4 linked regions of the Arabidopsis thaliana genome follow. The protein of the gene in region 3 interacts with the protein of the main gene of each other region in a pairwise test. Each region holds a gene or a part of one and is shown on either strand. Other genes may lie near its edges.

Evidence for each region.
Region 1: the proteins of PRR5 (region 3) and WNK4 interact in a two-hybrid assay, tested with the Arabidopsis thaliana proteins (one study listed by BioGRID).
Region 2: the proteins of PRR5 (region 3) and WNK1 interact in a two-hybrid assay, tested with the Arabidopsis thaliana proteins (2 studies listed by BioGRID).
Region 4: the proteins of PRR5 (region 3) and TCP2 interact in a two-hybrid assay, tested with the Arabidopsis thaliana proteins (2 studies listed by BioGRID).

The regions. Positions count from the first base shown.
Region 1 is NC_003076.8:23,583,233-23,588,320, forward strand, and holds WNK4 (with no lysine (K) kinase 4), read left to right. Parts: upstream 1-1,556; 5' UTR 1,557-2,272; coding exon 2,273-2,332; intron 2,333-2,406; coding exon 2,407-2,672; intron 2,673-2,749; coding exon 2,750-2,973; intron 2,974-3,050; coding exon 3,051-3,208; intron 3,209-3,287; coding exon 3,288-3,597; intron 3,598-3,667; coding exon 3,668-3,967; intron 3,968-4,051; coding exon 4,052-4,449; 3' UTR 4,450-4,569; downstream 4,570-5,088. Other genes in the region: AT5G58340 (myb-like HTH transcriptional regulator family protein), read left to right, coding at 1-424, 511-701, 817-880, 972-1,013. UniProt on the Arabidopsis thaliana protein: May regulate flowering time by modulating the photoperiod pathway.
Region 2 is NC_003074.8:1,352,839-1,358,771, reverse strand, and holds WNK1 (with no lysine (K) kinase 1), read right to left. Parts: upstream 4,237-5,933; 5' UTR 3,689-4,236; coding exon 3,614-3,688; intron 3,533-3,613; coding exon 3,495-3,532; intron 3,055-3,494; coding exon 2,827-3,054; exon of another isoform or gene 2,749-2,826; coding exon 2,528-2,748; intron 2,439-2,527; coding exon 2,281-2,438; intron 2,199-2,280; coding exon 1,679-2,198; intron 1,578-1,678; coding exon 715-1,577; 3' UTR 537-714; downstream 1-536. UniProt on the Arabidopsis thaliana protein: Regulates flowering time by modulating the photoperiod pathway. Phosphorylates APRR3.
Region 3 is NC_003076.8:8,355,695-8,360,249, forward strand, and holds PRR5 (two-component response regulator-like protein), read right to left. Parts: upstream 2,853-4,555; coding exon 2,627-2,852; intron 2,372-2,626; coding exon 2,210-2,371; intron 2,131-2,209; coding exon 2,000-2,130; intron 1,845-1,999; coding exon 1,390-1,844; intron 1,297-1,389; coding exon 687-1,296; intron 603-686; coding exon 510-602; downstream 1-509. Other genes in the region: AT5G24460 (RING-H2 zinc finger protein), read left to right, coding at 1-23. UniProt on the Arabidopsis thaliana protein: Transcriptional repressor of CCA1 and LHY, thereby controlling photoperiodic flowering response. Involved in the positive and negative feedback loops of the circadian clock. With RVE8, forms a negative feedback loop of the circadian clock.
Region 4 is NC_003075.7:10,162,418-10,167,254, reverse strand, and holds TCP2 (TEOSINTE BRANCHED 1, cycloidea and PCF transcription factor 2), read left to right. Parts: upstream 1-1,671; 5' UTR 1,672-1,812; intron 1,813-2,577; 5' UTR 2,578-2,945; coding exon 2,946-4,043; 3' UTR 4,044-4,333; downstream 4,334-4,837. UniProt on the Arabidopsis thaliana protein: Plays a pivotal role in the control of morphogenesis of shoot organs by negatively regulating the expression of boundary-specific genes such as CUC genes, probably through the induction of miRNA (e.g. miR164). Participates in ovule development.

The sequences.
Region 1 (5,088 bases), about 15 Mb from region 3:
CAACAGAGGGGATCAAAGTGATGTTGATGAAAGCACGAGACGTTTTGGGAGTGATACTATTGATATCGCCAACGAGGCGCGTGGTGAAAGGGAGGACGGGAATGGGATTGGTAGAGACAACGCTAATGATGGTGAAGGAATGGAATGTCTGGAGAATGATGGGATTGATAATGTGAATGCAGCAGACGAGGAGCACACAGTGAGTGCACAAGATCAGGAACATGAGCCAAGTCTTGATAAGGGAGACGAAATGGCTGCTCGAGAGCTGAAGGAATATTTAGTAGAGATTCAAGGACACATCGACCCTTCCACTAGGCAAGGGGAAGAACCTAACAGTGCAATTGATCACTCAGTAGATGTCACTCCTCCGCCTACTCGGGTGAATAGGACTGGAACAGGCTGTCAAGACCATAACGAAGCATCGGTGAGTGTTAGTCAATTTTCCCTCAAGATGCTTTCTAAAAATCTTGTTCTTTGGTTCATGAATTTGTGGTTTAATTGTGAAAACAGGATAATGTAAATGAGAAAGGTTCGGATAGTCAGGAAACATGGTCTAGCAGAGTTCGGCCTCGTCGACCAACCCCTGTAACTCTGAGTGTATCTCCATTAAAGAAAGGCGGATTGGCGAAACCACATGTCAGGAGACCAAAGAAATTCTGGAAGCCAGAAGAAGTGGAAGCTCTGAGGGAAGGAGTAAAAGAGTATGCAAACACTCTTTGCCTAGTCCCGTACTCTATTATCAATATTCAATAGTGATACATCTTGGACCTCATTAAGATTATACCACTGGCTCATTTTGTTGTTGTTGTTGTGCAGGTATGGTAAATCATGGAAAGATATAAAGAATGGAAACCCTACAGTATTTGCGGAGAGGACAGAGGTGAACATTTCCTTATTAACATTCATACTCACCATTTACTTGAACAAGATATATGCCAAGTGTGAGTGATGTAAATGTTGTAACTTGGTAGGTGGATTTGAAAGATAAATGGAGGAACTTAGTCGGTGGGTAGAGGTAACATCTTTTGTGAATCTTGTGCTATATGTTTTAAAATGCTGTAGAGTTATTTACCTTTGTGTATTGTGATATATCAACTGTGGAGAACATGGTGGAGAAAGGGCCATTCCCATGTTGTGTGGTGAATGATAATGATGAATGAGCAGAATATAATTATATGCTTGTGGGAAAAATTCTGGCTGCAACCTCTGTAGTCAGTCAGTGTCAAACTTATACGGCTTTTCTTGTTTTAGATATATTCCATCCTTATCTTCATTTCCTAATTCCTACCATGCTTCCCTCTCTCCTTTTCCACGTGTCAACTAACATCTAAACCAGAACAAAACAGTAGTCAAAAAATGCATAACCATTTTGATCTATGATATTGCCTGTCAAACATTCGGACCCTCCTTAGATATTGCCTGTTAACATTCAGACCCTCCTTAGATAAAAAGCGAAGTAATATGATGGGAGCTCTCATGCACATACTTTATTGGTGAATGCATATTTGTTACGTGTTATTAGTTTATTACAGAACCGTGAACTCCTTGAGGGCTGCAGGAACTGGCCGCCAACAAAAACAAAACAATTTTCAACGGTGATGTCACTATCACTCTATTCTCTACAACTTCTTGTCATGTTCCCCACTTCTGTTCTGACTTTTCCCCTTTTCTTTGTCGTTTTATTTTTGTTAACCTCAATCTATTTATTTTGGATTGCTTGTGTTCACCAAACTAATAATTGGTTCAATTGAAAATTGTGCAGTTTCCTCAAGAAACAAAACTCTTTCCTGAATATCGCATTTCCCAGTATCCACACTTTCTTAACTCTTATCCTCTTTGCAATTGTGTTTGTGGTTCACAAAATAAACAAGGGCATCTTTTGAGCATATTTAGCCATGTGTTTTCAATGTGGTACACGTTTGATGATTTTTTTTTCATTTTTGTGGTTTGAGTATCTTGTATTGGCAAGTAAGATTTGTCAAACTTTCGATTTTTAGATTTACAATTGGGTCAATAAAAATAAATATATGATTTTCTATAATATATGTGATGCAAGCAAGGTTAAGGCAAATTGTCTTTATTCTTTTTATCCCAAATGGGTGATTGACGCCAACGACTGTTCAACATATTTTCTGCTGACGCTTCTTTAATGAAGTAGCACGAAGAAGTAAACAGGACGACTTTTGGCCACCGGAAAATTTCTCTGTTATAAAAACGAAAGTCTGTGTCCTCTTAAACATTTTTGGGATCATCAATCGGTTTTTGGTCAACCATGAATATGAATCAAGTTGCAGAGTATGTGGAAACTGATCCAACTGGTCGCTATGGACGTGTAAGTAAGGAGACAGATTCTATGTTCATGGATCAAAACCTTGTTGTAACACTTGGTTTTTTATGTTGGAACAGTTTGCAGAAATTCTTGGAAGGGGAGCGATGAAGACAGTGTACAAAGCAATCGACGAGAAGCTGGGAATAGAAGTAGCATGGAGCCAGGTGAAGCTTAAGGAGGTTCTGCGTTCCTCTGTTGATCTACAGAGGCTTTACTCCGAGGTTCATCTCCTCAGCACTCTCAACCACAAATCCATCATTCGTTTCTACACTTCCTGGATCGATGTTCATAACCACACTCTCAACTTCATCACCGAGTTGTTCACTTCAGGGACCCTCCGACAGTAATTCGCTTAAACCTCTTCTTCTGACAAGATTATTCAGCTTTTGTCTTTTATGACCCTGTCCCGTTCATATGCAGATACAAAAATAAGTACTTGCGGATAGATATCCGAGCAATCAAGTCCTGGGCTCGGCAAATCTTGGAAGGGCTAGTTTATCTCCACGAGCACGACCCTCCTGTTATCCATAGAGACCTTAAGTGTGATAATATCTTTGTGAATGGGCATCTTGGACAAGTCAAAATTGGTGATCTTGGTCTTGCAAGAATGCTGCGGGACTGCCACTCGGCCCATAGCATCATTGGTATGTCTCAAAAATCGTTTGTTTTCACTTCTTGTCCAAATCATATGCTTAGACCTCTTTGTGTTTCTTTTGCATAGGCACTCCTGAGTTCATGGCACCAGAATTATATGAGGAGAACTATAATGAACTCATTGACGTATATTCCTTTGGTATGTGCTTTTTGGAGATGATCACCTCTGAGTTCCCGTATAGTGAGTGCAACCATCCGGCACAGATTTACAAGAAAGTTGTTGGGGTATGTCTTACAATCTGTGAGCATATAAATGAAGCTGTCAGATGAACCAGGCATGAGTCTTCTAATGTTCTCTTTTCAGGGAAAGCTACCAGGAGCATTTTACAGAGTTGGAGACATCGAGGCACAGAGGTTCATCGGGAAATGCCTCGTGTCTGCCTCAAAGAGAGTATCAGCAAAAGAACTATTGCAAGATCCATTTCTTGCCTCCGATGAGTCCTGGATGGTATACACGAGCGGTGCTGGGAATCCAAAGCCCTTCTTGAACGAGAATGAAATGGACACACTGAAGTTGGAAGATGATGAGTTAAGGACCGAGATGTCCATCGCTGGGAAGCTGGGCGCTGAAGATAACAAAATCGATCTGGAAGTACAAATCGCATATGATAATGGTAAATGGGACTAAATTGATTAAGCTGGTCACTTTGTTATTCGGTCGCATAATTGTTTTTTTCTTTCCAGGTCTGGCCAATAATGTATTCTTTCCCTTTGACATCATGAATGATACTTCCATTGATGTTGCAAAGGAGATGGTAAAAGAACTCGAAATTATAGATTGGGAGCCAGTCGAGATTGCTAAAATGATTGATGGAGCGATTTCTTCTTTGGTGTCTGATTGGAAGTATGAGGAAGATGATGAAACCCCTCATGATCATCATCGTCATCGTACCGATTCTTTTCACTCTTCTTCCTCGCACGCGTCATCTTCCCAAGCTTCACTCTCGAACTATATGGCTCGAGGCCTTCAAGATTGGGTACAAGGTATGGAAAGTAACACCAGTCTCAACGTGCATAGTGTGACAATTGTTTTTATAAAAGTTTTTGAGATAGAAATTAAAATTGCAGATGATTTACACGATGAGACGTATTCTCAGAGTTCTTCCCATTCAGGGTCTTACTCCAACCTCAACTACATAGCTGTTGATGAGTACAGCTCCCAATCTCCTGTTATGAGCAGAACTCACAACATGACGAGGTTTTGCCCCGAAGAAAGCTCTCATCTACAGTCAGGACAAGCCAACGCGTATGCAGCTTCCAGTTCAACTAACAGAAGCTTGGCTTCAGACAACCGCACACTTACAAGGAACCGATCACTTGTAGACGTGCAGAGACAGTTACTGCACCGGTCGCCAGGGGAAGAGGCTAGAAAAAGAAGATTGTTCAAAACTGTTGGAGACGTAGAAACAGTTGGGTTTCAGTCACCTTATGCGGTTTCACGGAAGCCACCAAGCTCAAGGCGCTAGCTTCTCCAGTATTTTAATTACTGTAATATATAAGTATACTGTAAAAAACAAGTTTGCTGGTTCAAAAATGTAAAAAGTACATGTGTTTAATAAAGTTGTTCAAAGGGTGTGTTTGTGTTACAGAGAAAGAGTCCTCATGGTGAAATGACTCAAATGTAACCATCTATACCAGAACAAACAGTAGTCAAATATAACCATTTTATCTATGCATGATATAGCCTGTTAAAACTCGGATCCTCCTTAGATACAAAGCTAAGTAAGATGATGAGAGCTCTCATGCACATATATATATGAAATGGTTGATGCCATATTTGTTGTCTTATTATTAGATATCTTACAAAAACATATGTGTTATGTTTTAATGACAATTTAGCTGACATAGAAGGATAGTTTAAAGTTTCTAGGTACGGTCTTGTCAATGCAAGTGATAGATGAGCTTCAAGTAGATGCATTGTAATCCAAGCCACGGAGAAACGCCATGTAGTCTGATTTGCCTAATTCAAAGTCAAGTAAAGCTGCTATTGGGTCGACATGTCCAGCTCCATAGTAGAGTATTTATTAGTTGGGTTTGGCTTTATCCACAAAAGCTCATTTTAAACCAGAACGATCTAGCATTTTGGCGTTTCAATAAAAAAATAT
Region 2 (5,933 bases), on a different chromosome or scaffold from region 3:
TGGAAGAAAAAAAAAGGTCATATTGAAAATGTCCAACCATTTCCTATAATAATCACATAGTAACGACAAACCAACCATGTTATATTTAATACAATATATATCTCATATTTTTGATGAAAAATAAATACAAAGGCATGTGGATGAACCCAAATTTCTAGTTGATTGGTCGGCAATGGAACATGGCGTTGTGCTGATGTGGGGTTACTCTTATAATTGACTATTTTTGTCACTTTTTTCCTTTTTTATTTTTCTCATTCGATTTCTCTTTGCATTATCCAAAGTGTTTTAAGAACATAGTAGACACTAATTCATTTGTTTTTTTTGGTTTTTCTTTATTAAAGTTATTAATGTACTTTTGAGTAATTTTATTGTCCGAAGTTTTATTCCGAAACTGATTGCTGACTTCACATCGCTCAATAATTTGCTATCATTATTGCTTGTCATCAATTATTATCATTTGCTATAGTATGTCAATGCTGAAAAGATTTTAAAACAACTTGCTAGAAACGAAAATTTTCAAGTAATCAGTAATAAAAAAAATTATAATCGTATTGCATTTTGAAGTTATTAGATTGAAGGGTATTATTGTACAAATAACCCCAAAAGAATTTGAAGAGGATCTCTTAAGTATACTTGTGTGTTGTTCTTGTTACACTGTAAAAGTCTTTATAATAGGAAACAATATGTATGTATACATGAAGAAACAGAATGTAATCAAGAATCAATGGCATCAACAGGAAGTGAAGTTGTTCTTTTCAGACACTTTGGTACCAATCTTTCTCCAAACATCTCTTTCACCGTATCTTCTTCTCTTCCTAACCCGGAAACCGAACCCAAGAACCCGTCTTTCGGAGAAATTTCCACCTCTTCTCCGGATTCCGGCCACCGGGTTTTTAGTTGTTCATCCTGAATATCTCTAAGCTCAATTTGGCATTTGGCTTTAAGCCATCTCAACTCTTGTTGGACCTGATTTTCGGTTTTTTCGGATGGCTCATCGCAGTATTTAGATGGCATAAACGAGAACGATCCAGAACCCGATATATGGTTTATCTCGTTACCTGCCTCGCAAGAAAACATGTTTTCGGGGTCTTCGTATAGCACCTCTTCTTCCTCCTCTTCTTCGGAATGGTTATGGCCTGAATCTATCGAGCTTAGCTCGCGGCTTTCTTGCTGTTGCTGCAGCTTCCATAGCTCTCTAAGACGAACCTCGGTTTCTCTGATCGTGATCTCTTCAAACCGACCATGAGTCTCACCGCACCCGTTTCTGCAACATTGTATCACATTTGCCCCAGGATTGGTTCTCAGGAAATCCATCACCGAGCCCATTGAGGTGCGGTTTGATACGCAGTTGTTGCAAATGCTCGCAGCATTTGCCGCCGCCGCAGCCGCAAGACATTCTTCGAATTCAGGTCCCGGTCTCCAACTAGGTACAAGAGAAGATATCTCACCGTCAATCATGTTGGCTATTTTTGTGACTCCATGATCGTCCATATCCAGTTCCGCTACCATCTCTGTTGCAACGCTCAATGCGGTGTCCGTCTCAATGTCAAATGGGAAGTAAATGTTTCGGACACGTCCTGCAACAAACCAGTCCATGAATCAAATGAAAGAAACTGCATTTTTTCCACTCTTCTTCATAGGTTATGAAACAAGGAAAAGATAAAGAGAATATTGTTACCTTCTTTGTCAGCGATCCTAAGACGCAAGAACAAGCCACCATCATCTCTCCTCTTCCCTTTGATGGTTATGTCAACATTACCAGATTTCTTTTCTTCTTCTTGATCATCATTGTTTCGAGATTCAAAGAGCTCGATGCCGTGAGTCTCCTCTGTCTCAGCTGGATTATACGCCCATCCATTCTGATACTCGTGATGACTATTATAACCATTTGAGTACTGACGATTCAATGAGCTACTATTCGACGGGTAGTTGCCATTTGAGTACTGACGATTCAAAGAGCTACTATTCGACGGGTAATTGTAGTAGTCAGGAAGATGGTGCGGCTGCCTATAGAGTGGCCCGACCGAATCTTCCATATCAACTGATCTTAAATCAAACTCACCATCGTCTATACGGAGAAAAGGGTCATCTAGTAACTCACGAGCAGAGACTCTAAGCGATACGGTGGCCAAGCATTTCTCAATGAAACATTTAACCTCGGGGTCTTTCACCTTGTACAATGCATCCGGTTTCTTGCCCTGAAACCGAACTTTTAGCCTTTTGAAACAGAAAGAGATGAAGCTTTTTTATCTTAGTGTTTTAGTAATCGGAGAGTCTCACCGACATAACTTTCTTGTAGATCTGAGCAGGATGAGTACACTCACTGTACGGGTAATCAAACGTAACCATCTCCAAAATACACATACCGAACGAGTATATATCAACCAATTCGTTATATGCTTCTTCGTAAACTTCAGGTGCCATGAACTCAGGAGTCCCTAACAAAAGATCAAAACTTTACACAATCAGAAACAAAGAAACTCAGCTAAAAAGCAGAAAGGATATGATTTGGATTTGCATATAGTACCGACGCAGTGAGCAGCATGGGACTTTCTTAAAATAGCAGCAAGGCCAAGATCTCCAATCTTGACCTCTCCTTGATTCCCGTTAACGAAAATGTTGTCACATTTGAGATCCCTGTGGATCACAGGAGGATCATGGCTGTGAAGATAATGTAAGCCTCTCAAGATTTGTCTGCACCAATGCTTCATAGCTCTTATGTTCACTCTCTTATGTCTGAGTCTATATCTGTATCCATAAATGAAGTTATCGTTAAAGATAAACTAAAACCAACGACAGAAAAGTATGTTTACAAGAGAATCTTACTGTCTTAAGGTGCCAGAAGTGAACAATTCAGTGACGAAATTGATATTTCGATTGGCGGTATCGACCCAAGAAGTGTAGAATTTCATGATGTTCTTATGTTTTAGAGTCTTGAGAAGATGAATCTCACAGTAAAGCCTCTCAAGATCCTCAGGGCTTTGTAGGAAATCATATAGCTTAACTTGGTTCCATGCTACTTCTATGCCTTCATATTCATCAAATGCTCTATAACTACAAAATCAAAAGAAAGAAAGAAGATTAATGTATGTATGAGCAAAGAAGTTTTTTTGTTTGCAGAATCTGAATTTGGTATAAGTCAAAGCAATAAAGAGATCCAAAAAAAGCAAAGTTGTTGGAAATTTCTCTTGTGGGGAATTAATGACCAAACTAGAAGTGATTCAATGAAGCAAAAAAAAACAAAAGCTCAACTTTTTTATTTCCTCTTTTAAAGGATTTGATTCAATCATGAATCCAAAACACACAAAAATCGTAAGGACAAATTTGTTGGATCACAAATGGGTTTTGACTGGGAAAACAAAAAGTTACAAACTTTATGAAGAAAGAACAACAGATTAGGCTTAAATCATCACCAGATCCAGAAGAAAAAAAAGCTGCAAACTTTGAGAGAAACATGAAGCAGAAAAAGAAGAGAAGAAGGGAGAGATTCTCACACAGTCTTTGAAGCTCCTTTACCAAGAACTTCATTGTACTGCAACAACAAGAACAATGAAGTCAACAAAAGATCAAACAAAATAATTGAGATTGATTGATTGATAGGAGGAAACATTACTCTTCCATATCTTCCAGTAGGATCAACTTCAACAAACTCAGAGTAATCTGGTTCAAGATAACTCAGATTGTTCATCTCTCTTTCAATCTCACAATTACGAACCAAATAAAAAAATCCCAAAAGGAAAAATAAGAATAGATCTACCAATACAAACGTCTCTCTTTTAATAAATGGGAGAGAGTTTAGGTTTCTTCTTATAGCAATTTCTGCATAATCATATTATTGTTTTTGTTCTTCTCTGACAAAAGGAGTTGAACAGGGCAATGAAACTCATGTAGTAGATAAGAACAGTATCTGTATAGACTCTCTCATTATTACATTCTAATAAATACTCAAACTCTATAGAGAGAGAGAGAAAAGGAGGATTTGAGCTTAGAAGACAGAGAAGCCAAGCTTTTCTCTCTTCAATAGTTCAATGGAAGTTTTTTTTTTTTGGTTGATGACAGAGAAATACAAGCACCTCGTGAGAGAAGACAAAGACGGTGTGCGTTTCTTTAGGGAACGGTGGTCCAAAAATGGGATATAAACTAAACAAATATCTATCCTTCATTTTTTTTCTTCTTCTTCTTATGGAACCTTTTTTTTGTTCCTTAAACCTTTTTACATACTTCTAAATAATTGCAACGGATTTTATTTTATACGGTATATATAATTAGTGTCCTCTATCGACAATTATTTATTGGAAATTATTCTGTGGTAGTATTAACAATTGTTCGGTGGAAAAGTAACTTGAATACTTGAAAATTATGATTGATTCATTTTAGTGATTATTCTATACAAATTCACAAGCTAGAGAAAACAAAAATGTTACTATTACTTTACCTTTCTTTTGTTTTGATTTTAGTTTTGTTTTGTTATACACAAAGATGATGCTTGCAAATAGTAATAATTCCATTAGCCGACGGAGTATTGTTGTGAAATAAATGTTGAACCTACCAAAATAATGAATCTCATCGAGATAACGTGCCGAAAAAAAATTCTCCCTACCGGCTAAACTGTGTGATATGATTAACAAATTACTACATTTAGAACCATATTCTGATAAAGGTTTAGTTTATGTCATTAAAAACTTCGACTGGTTTTCATTTCAATTAGAACAATCAACATTCAAAACAAATTATATATGAATATTGGGTTGCCTCGTGTGGATGTGATCGTGTCAGGTCTCAGCTATCTTAGAAAAGGAAATAGAAAGGTGCTCTCTCGTACGTATCTTTTGAGTGATGGGAATGATAGACTGTTCCATACGTTTATTCCATTGTGCGGATTGCATTTGTATTAGCGTATATGCCATCATCATTTCAACTATATAATTGATATTCTAGTATTTTGAAATGATCATCGTTCGTTTGAATAAATCAAAGGATATGATCATTGTTCTATGATTACGTTCATTGGTGGGGAATGGTATCATCCCCTAATGCACTACGAATTTGACCATATTTTAGGTAAAGTTACTTTTTTTTTTAGAAAGATTTTAGATATAAAGTTTTGAATATTGTTTGCTGACATGCTTTTTGTGTTGATTTTACATACTAAAATATTAGCTACAACATTTTTAATCTGAATTATAGTATCCGTCTTATATTTTGGTTTCATATACGCTATTGGAAAATTAATTTTTAGAAAAAGGTAAAAAAAAACTGGAACCAAAATTTTGATTAGACGACATTCATCTAAAAAGAAAATCATTATAACGAATCATTGCAATCGCTATAACATATACAACTACATCGTAACGACTAGTCTACTTCTTCTACCATCAAACAACAATGCTATATAACTAACTCATGTTTTCGTTTTTGTTACAAATAACTAACTAAATGTTACCAATAGAAGCTTGGAAATAAAAACACAAAATTTAAGAATTCTGAAATGGATTGGAGACAGCGAGACCATACATTAGCATGTCGACTAGATGTTCCAAAGGAGGCAACAAAGGTTAGTTTGGCCACGTGTTAAGTTAAAGTTGCTCGTGTTATCTATCTTGAGTCTTGACCATACATCATTTCATTTACACGACAATCCATCAACATAATTTACATATCGTACAGTGAACAGGAATCATGTGCAATATGACTAACTATAATCAAGTCTGATTTAATTCAGGGTATAAATATTTGATTTATCATAATATTTGGAAATAAACAGATTGATGGGGGCCAATCTTATATTAGAGAAAGAACACACATGTGCATGTGGGTGAATACAAAGACATGCACGATCAGCATAGCCTTTTAAACGAAAAAAAAAGAAGCAAATAAAGACTTGGTTGGTTGTGAATAATGAATCAGACCAACCACAAATCTTATCCATTTGG
Region 3 (4,555 bases):
GTCCTGATTCGATTCGATCTTAAAAAAAATCTCAAAACAAAGCTTTTCACAAATTTTATCAATCTTGCTTTTGATACATGAATAATCAGAGAGCCATGTAGAGATACATATACACATTTATATATGTTCATAATCATCTTCTTCGTTTGGCTATTTTTGTGTTAGTGGATACTATTCTCCAGAAGTTTTGATCTCACTATAGCTTATCTTCTTCGAGTTCATTGTTTTGTGCTGAAATTTGTTTAGCTGAGATTTTGTCAATCTTTCTAATTCGTCTTGCAAGTTACAGAAACGTAATCCAAATGTATGTAGTTACAGATCTAACGTAGATTCTAACTAAAACTCAACAACAAGCTCGAAAGATGTGTATGTACACACAAATGTGTCACCAAATCTAACGTATGTGGAATTAGTTGTACAAAGAACAGCTCCTGCATCGGAGAAAACAAAATTCCTCTAGTTGATGATACAAAATTGAACTGTATATAATATATCAATTTGTTGGATCACTATGGAGCTTGTGTGGATTGGACTTGACGAACGAATTGGCCTTTGATTCGTGGTCGTTGCTCTGCTAATTTCTTCCGGCTCTCGTAACGAACCTGTTAAGTCATTCAAAGGTTCCTTTAGTATCATTACGTTATGAGTTCATCTATGTGATGGAACCATCGAAGTTAAGTTTTTACCTTTTTCTCATAACATCTGTCCTTTCGCTTCATTCGGAATTTGGTTAAAGCGGCTTCTCGTTGAAGAGATTGCTGAATTTTCCCGACGGATAATGAATAGCCATCTTCGTTCTTCTTCTCAATAAGCTGATCAATGTGATTGCCTATTGCACTATGTTCGGTTGCAGAAGAGACGTATCTCCTCTCATCTACATCCATGGAACAATCCCGGTCTTGTAACCCCTCGGGTTTACTGTTGAATGGGTGAAACATGGAACTGTACTCATGCGGGCTAACGGAACTAGGGCTTGGGGAGAGTGAAGCAGGAGCCATTGCAGATGTATAAGCTGTGTTGGGATCTCTGAACTGTATATTGTTGATAGGGGTTGGCGTAGGGTATGAACTCTGTCCCGGCCAAGAATTCAGCTGATTACTAAACGGTGGACCAGGTGAGTCAGCTCCAGTGTAAAAGCTGGTGTCGTTTCTTCTTGGAGCATTTGGAGGCGGTTCAGATGTATTGTATTGGTTCATTAGCACAATGTTATCATCTTGACTTGCTGCAACATTCTTTCTTTGATCAGTAACCACTGGGGAGGCTGAACATTGTGTCTGCAACGGCCTGTGAACGTACCTGCAACAAGAACATAACACACACAATCAGCAGAAAGAACGACAACTATTGAACGATTAATAGAAAGAAGAATTGAGAAATTAGACAACTCACCGTGTGAAAGCTGAGGCACTAGAAGGATGAAGAGAAGGCCGGTCTCCAGAAGATTGGTTCTCAGAAGCATTAGGTCTTCTCAGAGAAAGATCAAGCTCTATCCGAGATTCGTATTGAGCAACACTTTCTTCTCTGTTACGTCGTCCAGTTCTTCTAAACGATGCTCCCATGAAGTCAATGGCTTCTGCTTGCTTACTCTGCAACTCATTTGCTAGAAGCCGTGTCTCATTAAACTGAGACTTTGCGCACTCCATCTGTACTGCGTCTCTCGCACTAACCTCCACGTCTGCGCTCTCACCTTCCATCTCTGGTCTTGTACACGAGCTCTGGGCATCACCACCATTCCCACTCACAACATGATCGTCTCTCTTTCCGTTCGAGTTGTTTGCAGACGCACCCTCGGCTTTCTGCTGTCCAACACTCTCATTCCATGGAAAGCTATCAGGAGCAAGTGACTGTAAAAGATAATCAAAACCAAAAACAAATCTGAGAACTCAATCATCTTTTCAAGACAACGAAATTTCCCAGAACTTATATAAGAACGGGTTTAAGTTGTAGAGATAATTCATCACACATAAAGCTTAAAACAAAAGATGGATATGAAACATACAGTTTGTCTTCTCCAGACATGCTGCCAAAGATTTCTAAGCTCATTCCTCCTCAACGGCTTAACAAGATAATCAGCCGCACCTTTCAACATACACTTATACACAGTATTCACCGAGTCCTGTGTCGACATCACTGGAAAAAAAAACAATACATAATGAGCCAAAAAATCATTTCAAAACGATGGAAGAAAAAGATGTATATATCAACGTACTTATAACAGGAATGTTCTTGCAAATATCATGCTCCATGATAAGTGTTAGCAGAGCATATCCAGATATTGAAGGTAGATCAACCTCTGTTAATATCAAATCAACACTTTCAGGCTTTCCTTTTAGCATCTCCCAAGCTTTTAAGCCATCAGGTACTGCAGCAACTGATCAATACACAAAACCAAACCACATTAATACAAATCCTTTTAGCTTGTTGTAGAAACTAAGCGTTGATAAAGATTTCTATATGAACACAAAACCGACAAAAAAATCGTTGACTTTTCTAAATTTGACTTTGAATTGTAACATTTAGCCGCACGCGAATCAGATTCAAAACATTAGCATCTCAATCGAATTCATAATTCTCAGATTCTATACAAACAAAACCTAAATCTCAAGCATTGAAACCAGAAACTAACCTCTGTAACTACATTTCCTGAGAAGAGCAGCGATAATCTGTCTAGTAGAATCATCAGCTTCAACGAGCAAAACTCTAAGCGCGATTTTCGGGAGAAATCTCTCCCACTTCACCAAACCATCAACACCGGCGTCTTTCTTCCGAATCTTCCGACGTGATAACTTTCCTCCGCCAGCTTCAGGTGCTTTAACCACCGTCACTTCAACTACTTCCTCGCTACTAGTCATTATCACAACACAAACACTTAGCTTTGAAAAACCTAAATCGATTATTGAAGAAGAAGAAGAAAGCTCCAGAGAAAGAGAAACAGTTACAAAACAAATCAAAATATTTGTGAGTGGAGAGATAAATGAGAAGAGAGCAAAAAAAAGAACTTTATTCTTTCTATAATAGTGTGGAGAAAAGAAAATATCTAGAAAAAATCTAGCGAATGTTTTAACGGTTATGATTGAAAGTGGGTGGCGAACCGACCATGATCTAACGGTTGTGGAAAGAGTATTTGGATTTGAAAAAATATCTAGTAGAATTGGCTGACGTGGCCACGTTTGCCACATCAGCAAAATACTGTATACGAGACAAAAGAGATCCAATACGCCAAATAACCTTCTTTTAAGAAAAAATTGGTGTGGTGGCTAGCCTTTGGTTTTTCTATGTGGTTCATATTTAAAGTTGGATTTAATTTTTTATTATACTTTACCAAAATATTTATTGCAATTGATGTTTATGTATTTGTGATGGAGAAATATTTAGTGAATTTCTTGTTTATTTTTCTTTTAATAAGAGATCAACACTAAACATTGAAACTATTACTTATTTGATGCTTCTAAATTTTACTTTTATTTTAAAATGTATTTTATATTATTGTTCAGACATTTTAGCTTTTGAGTACCTATAAAAATCCCACTCGTGACTTTTGGGATAATACCAAACCCAAAAAATATCTAATGCTAGTGGGAAAAAGTATCTATACAAATTTATCCAAAAACAATTGTATTATTTTCTGTTTGGTACATAGGTTTGCAATTTGTTTATTTTAAAAACAATAAGGATATTTCAATTTTTTTTCACATAAGAAAATCAAGGACACATGGTATAATTTATTTTCTGAAATAACAAATAAGAACTTTTTGTTAATGAATTAATTATACATATATTTCAATATTATTTTTTGGCACAAAAAACATTTGCTTACACCAAATGATCACTGGTGCTAACTAATAGCAAATGTCATATATTATTTTATATTTTTTCGGCCAGCCATATATTTTAGTCACGAAATAAGAACACTTTAATATTGATTTGCATTAGAAAAGAAATGGAACAATCAAACAAATGAATATCGATCATAGAGATTCATAGTTTACCAAATTTTTATCAACATTTTGGTTTTTTCTATTGCTACTATTTTGGTTGCGTGGTGGAATAAATCAAATGGAACATGCACGAGTCAAGAGTAGGGACAAAGGGTGATGAATTTTAAAGTAATTTTCCGCGGCTAGATATTTTGTTGTTGGGTGGGATTAGATTAGAGACACTTGTTTAAAAACCTCGTGGTTCTTTGGTGGATAGGAATATGACACGTGTATGGTTATTATCTGACACAGTCTTTCACCTTTAAATGGTAGCTGTCACTGTCAGAGACTAAATATCTTCTTTTTTCCTTGTCTCTTTACGCGCCCGCGAGTGTAATATATCTCTCCTACTCGCTCTCTTGTAACAAGAGTCTTGTCCTACGCTATGACTTTCTTTTTTATTGACTGGACCCTATGGTTTTCTTCTCTTAATCAAACTTAGTAAACTACTAGGTAATAAAAAAGGACAATTAGTGTAATGATCAATCAAACAAATGAAGAAAATGGTTAATAATAAGCCAGGTGGTTTAGTTCCTTGTACTAGCACTTCATGCGTTAAACTGAGAAATAGGTTTAGG
Region 4 (4,837 bases), on a different chromosome or scaffold from region 3:
AATTCCACAAACCACATTAACTAATAACTAATCTGTACTTATTAAAGTTAATAGAGTATGGTGTAATACCACTTGACTAAAAAAATACTACTAGATTATTAAAATTGCAAACGATTTGTACTAATTCTTGAATTAAATTGTGCGTGTTTTTTCCATGAAGTTCTAGTGATGTGATGTGGGATTGACATAGTGTAAGTTATTAAAATAGGGGTTTGGATTTCTTTATCAATATGATTTGTTAGGTGGAAAAGAAATGTATAGGTTTTAAAATAGTTTTCATTCTTCCTTAAATATCATTATCCCGGAAATTTAGTTATTTCTACTTTAAAATAGTTTGTTTAATTTTTAGATATTTGCTTGGATTATGTGCTTACTTTGATAATTGTTTTGCATTGTCTCCAAAATAAAATTTGTTTTTATATTTTTATTAGGCTAGTACATGTTATGGTTAAAAATAGAAAAATATCATAAAAACTGCTAAATTTAGACATTTTCTCATATAAAATTTTTATTTTTTTTGTTCTATATAAAATCCCAAACTTTTCAAATTTGAACCCGAGCAATGGCTGACTAAGACCTATACGATAATTTAGTTAAAAAGGTCGTTGACGACATATTTTTCATTTGATTAATTTTTGAAATTCACACATAATAGTTACAATTTTTCTAATTTCTAAGATTCATAGTATAAGTTTTTATCGTAATAAAGATATTTTTTTGGTAAATAACAATTAACATTGTTATGATACGGACAGTATATATATTTCCATGTAGCATTTTTTTATAAAAAAATTTCATTAACATAAGCAAACTTTAAACACATAAACAAAATATAAATAATTTACTCACATATCTAAAATTAAAAGACCTCAAACCAAATAGATAATAAAAAAACAGAGGAAGGATTCGAGCTTTATGCTCAAGAGAGAGGGTCGAGTTTACTCTGCAAAATGTTCTGAATATACAATATTAATCATGTCGGAGAACAAAAAGACTAAGAGTGTAGGCGAGACCGCGAGAGTTCCTTTTTTAAAGCAAGTAGATAAAAACTTGGAAAACTAGCTTGAGAATGAGAGATATGTTTATATTGCGGTATGAATCTTTTATCTATCTAAATCTATGTTCCGAAGGAATTGGTGGAAAACCATGAGCTTTACATGTAAAGAATGATAGACCAAACCTATTTTGAAAACATAAAACATGTAGCATTTTTTATGATCGAAACATATCATAGAGTAGATTATTGAGTATTAATCGAATTCTATTTCTATGAACAAACTAAAATCCTAAGGACACTTGGACAAAGTGAATTGTTTTTTTGTTTGTTCTCCTCTCCTACATAAATATACATGTGACATGAGATAATATGATTTCTCATATTCACGCATTGATTTGTTTCTAACATTTCTATAGCATTTATGTTCACAACTTCTTGATATAATAGCTGCCAAAAAAAACTTCTTTAAATATTTTCTTGTGTTTTTATTGCCAAAAACAAACGAAAATATCAAATAATTTTTCTCACCTGAAATCAAATTACTGAGGATGATAATTTAATACAGATATTTTGTAGAGGACCGTGGCAATTCCGTGAATAAGTAATGTAATGAAGGGCAAAAATGGAAATAAAATCAAAGTTTATGCCCAATATCTCTCTCCCCATCTGATGATCACTCCTTTAAAATCACCATCAAAGAAATTCCAATTTTCTCGGATTTTTATTTCTTATATACAAATCCCTAAAACCCTATAGCCCTCTTTCTTCGTCACCTACTACTACTAACTCCAAGCTCAAGCTCCTCTGTTTCTTCTGTAAGTCTCAATTTATCTCATCGAATTTTCCGAGAAACAAACAAAAACCAATCTTTTTCATAGAAAGAATCTGAATTTCGTGTTTATACTTAATTCTGATTCCAAAAAAACAATTCTAGATCTAAGATTTTTATTTCTTGATGAGAATTTCACTGTAGAAAGAAGTGTATTTGTTCCTTTAATTTGCTTTAAAATTTTGGTTTCATATAATCTCAAAGCCAAGAGCTTGACACCTGTGATCTGCATAGAATCCAGAACACATCAATAATGATTCCTTTTTAAGAATTTTTAAATTGATTTAATCTTCTTGTTGGTTACTATGAAACAACTCTTTTTCTTTCATAATTAGAAACACCAAAATCTTTATATAGAGAAGAAAAGCTTAAAACTCGATTTCTGCATTTTTTGTCTTCTTACTCTTTAAAGCCCTCCATTGATAATCGCTTCAGCCGAAAGCAGTTGATTCAGCTTAATTATTTATCATAGCTTCTGATTCTTCTTCTAGCTCCTTCTTCTTTAATCACGATCATTAACTTTAAACCCGTTTTATCAATTGTTGTGATATGTCAGATCTACAATGAGTAGAGCATAAATTCGAATCAGAATAACTGATATCTTAATTATGTGTATATATGAATGAAAGTCATCTGTAGAAAAAGTCGATAAGGATGTAACATATATATATATATATATAAGCATTTATGTATATATATATGTGTAAAGATTTGTTCTTATGAGATTGTTTCTTTGTTTTTGTTATTGCAGGCTTGTGGTTAAAAATCATTTCAGACACAGTGCTTTTGATGACTCTCTGCAACAAACAACAGCAGCTGCAGACAAAGCTTATACGAAGCTGTATCTACTGACTTTGATGGTGAAATATCAAAAACCCTAAATTAATTTTAAAAAAAAACACATTTTTTTTCTTCTTTTGGTTTTTCCTCTGAGGGTATTCATCATCAATGCTTACAAAGTACAGTGGGTAAACAAAACAAAAACAAAAACCCATTTTTTTCTCCTTCTTTAAATCCCAAACCAACCCTAAAGTTTTGATTTTTAATTTTGGGGGTAACCAAAAAAAAACAAAACCCTAATTTTTTTTCTTTAGTGATGAGATTATTGGTGATGATGAAATGATTGGAGATCTAATGAAGAATAACAACAATGGCGACGTTGTGGATAACGAAGTGAACAACCGGTTAAGCCGGTGGCATCACAATTCTTCCCGGATAATTAGGGTTTCACGAGCTTCCGGTGGTAAAGATCGACACAGCAAAGTCTTGACTTCTAAAGGACCACGTGACCGTCGTGTCCGGTTATCAGTCTCCACCGCTCTTCAATTCTATGATCTTCAAGATCGGTTAGGTTATGATCAACCTAGCAAAGCTGTTGAATGGTTAATCAAAGCTGCTGAAGATTCAATCTCTGAGCTTCCTTCACTCAACAACACTCATTTTCCGACCGATGACGAGAATCACCAGAATCAGACATTAACAACAGTTGCTGCTAATTCCTTGTCTAAATCTGCTTGTAGTAGCAATTCAGACACGAGCAAGAACTCTTCTGGTTTGTCTTTATCAAGATCGGAGCTTAGAGATAAAGCTAGAGAGAGGGCTAGAGAGAGAACAGCTAAAGAGACCAAGGAAAGAGATCATAACCACACTTCGTTTACGGATTTGTTAAATTCCGGTTCAGATCCGGTTAACTCAAACCGGCAATGGATGGCTTCAGCTCCTTCTTCATCTCCAATGGAGTATTTCAGTTCGGGTTTAATTCTCGGGTCGGGTCAACAAACCCATTTCCCTATTTCAACAAATTCTCATCCTTTCTCATCAATCTCCGATCATCATCATCATCATCCTCATCATCAGCATCAAGAGTTTTCATTCGTTCCCGACCATTTGATATCACCGGCAGAATCCAACGGCGGAGCATTCAATCTTGATTTTAATATGTCAACACCCTCCGGCGCCGGAGCTGCCGTCTCCGCCGCATCAGGTGGTGGCTTCAGTGGTTTCAACAGGGGGACCCTTCAGTCCAATTCAACAAATCAGCATCAGTCATTCCTCGCTAATCTACAGAGGTTTCCAACATCAGAAAGTGGAGGAGGTCCACAGTTCTTATTCGGTGCACTGCCTGCAGAGAATCACCACCACAATCACCAGTTTCAGCTTTACTATGAAAATGGATGCAGAAACTCATCAGAACATAAGGGTAAAGGCAAGAACTGATGATATTAATTATTGCATCTTTGGTTTTGTTCAAATGCTCATTTTGTATGTTTATCTTTGGTTTATTTCAAAACAAATGTTAATCTCTTTCGTTGTCTGATGTGTGTTAGGGTTTTGTTTTATGTATTGAGGGTCTTTGGAAATCTTTTTGCATTGTGCTTGTAATGTTGTATTTGTGATAATAGCATTTTGTTTGTGAGTTTATAATTGAATTTTTGAATGTTATTTTTGCCATGTAATTGGTATAGTTAGCATTTTTTTTTTCTTTAGTAAATTGTTTATAGTACGAAGATACTGTTTCTTGGTATTCATGAACAAATGGTAGGTCAAGGCAATAGGGCGATCCTTTTAAGGTACTAGATTGAATCAAATCAAATACTCAGAAGAATTAAATACAGAAATTAAGAATTTTCCCAAAAAAATAAAAAATACAGAAATTAAGTGAAGAGACAAAAAAAAACTTGTAAATAAAAATAGAAAGAAAGAAAATATACATAATAATCAGGGAAATAAATAATTTTGATAGACAAAACTGAAAAATTGAGGGTAAGGCCATTATGCATTGAAGAGAGTGAAAATCAAAATGAATTGTCTCCTGTTGTGCTCTATGTTTGGTTCCCTTCTTCCTTAGCATCATCTCTCTCCATATGTATTGTTTTTATAATCTATCTATCTTATGAATATATCTTCTTCATTTGACAGCTGTTGTCTTCAACAATGGCTATTCCCAAATTTTCATGATTTTATTTCTTATGATCTGTTTATATTATTATAAGTTTTTTTAACTTTTTCTT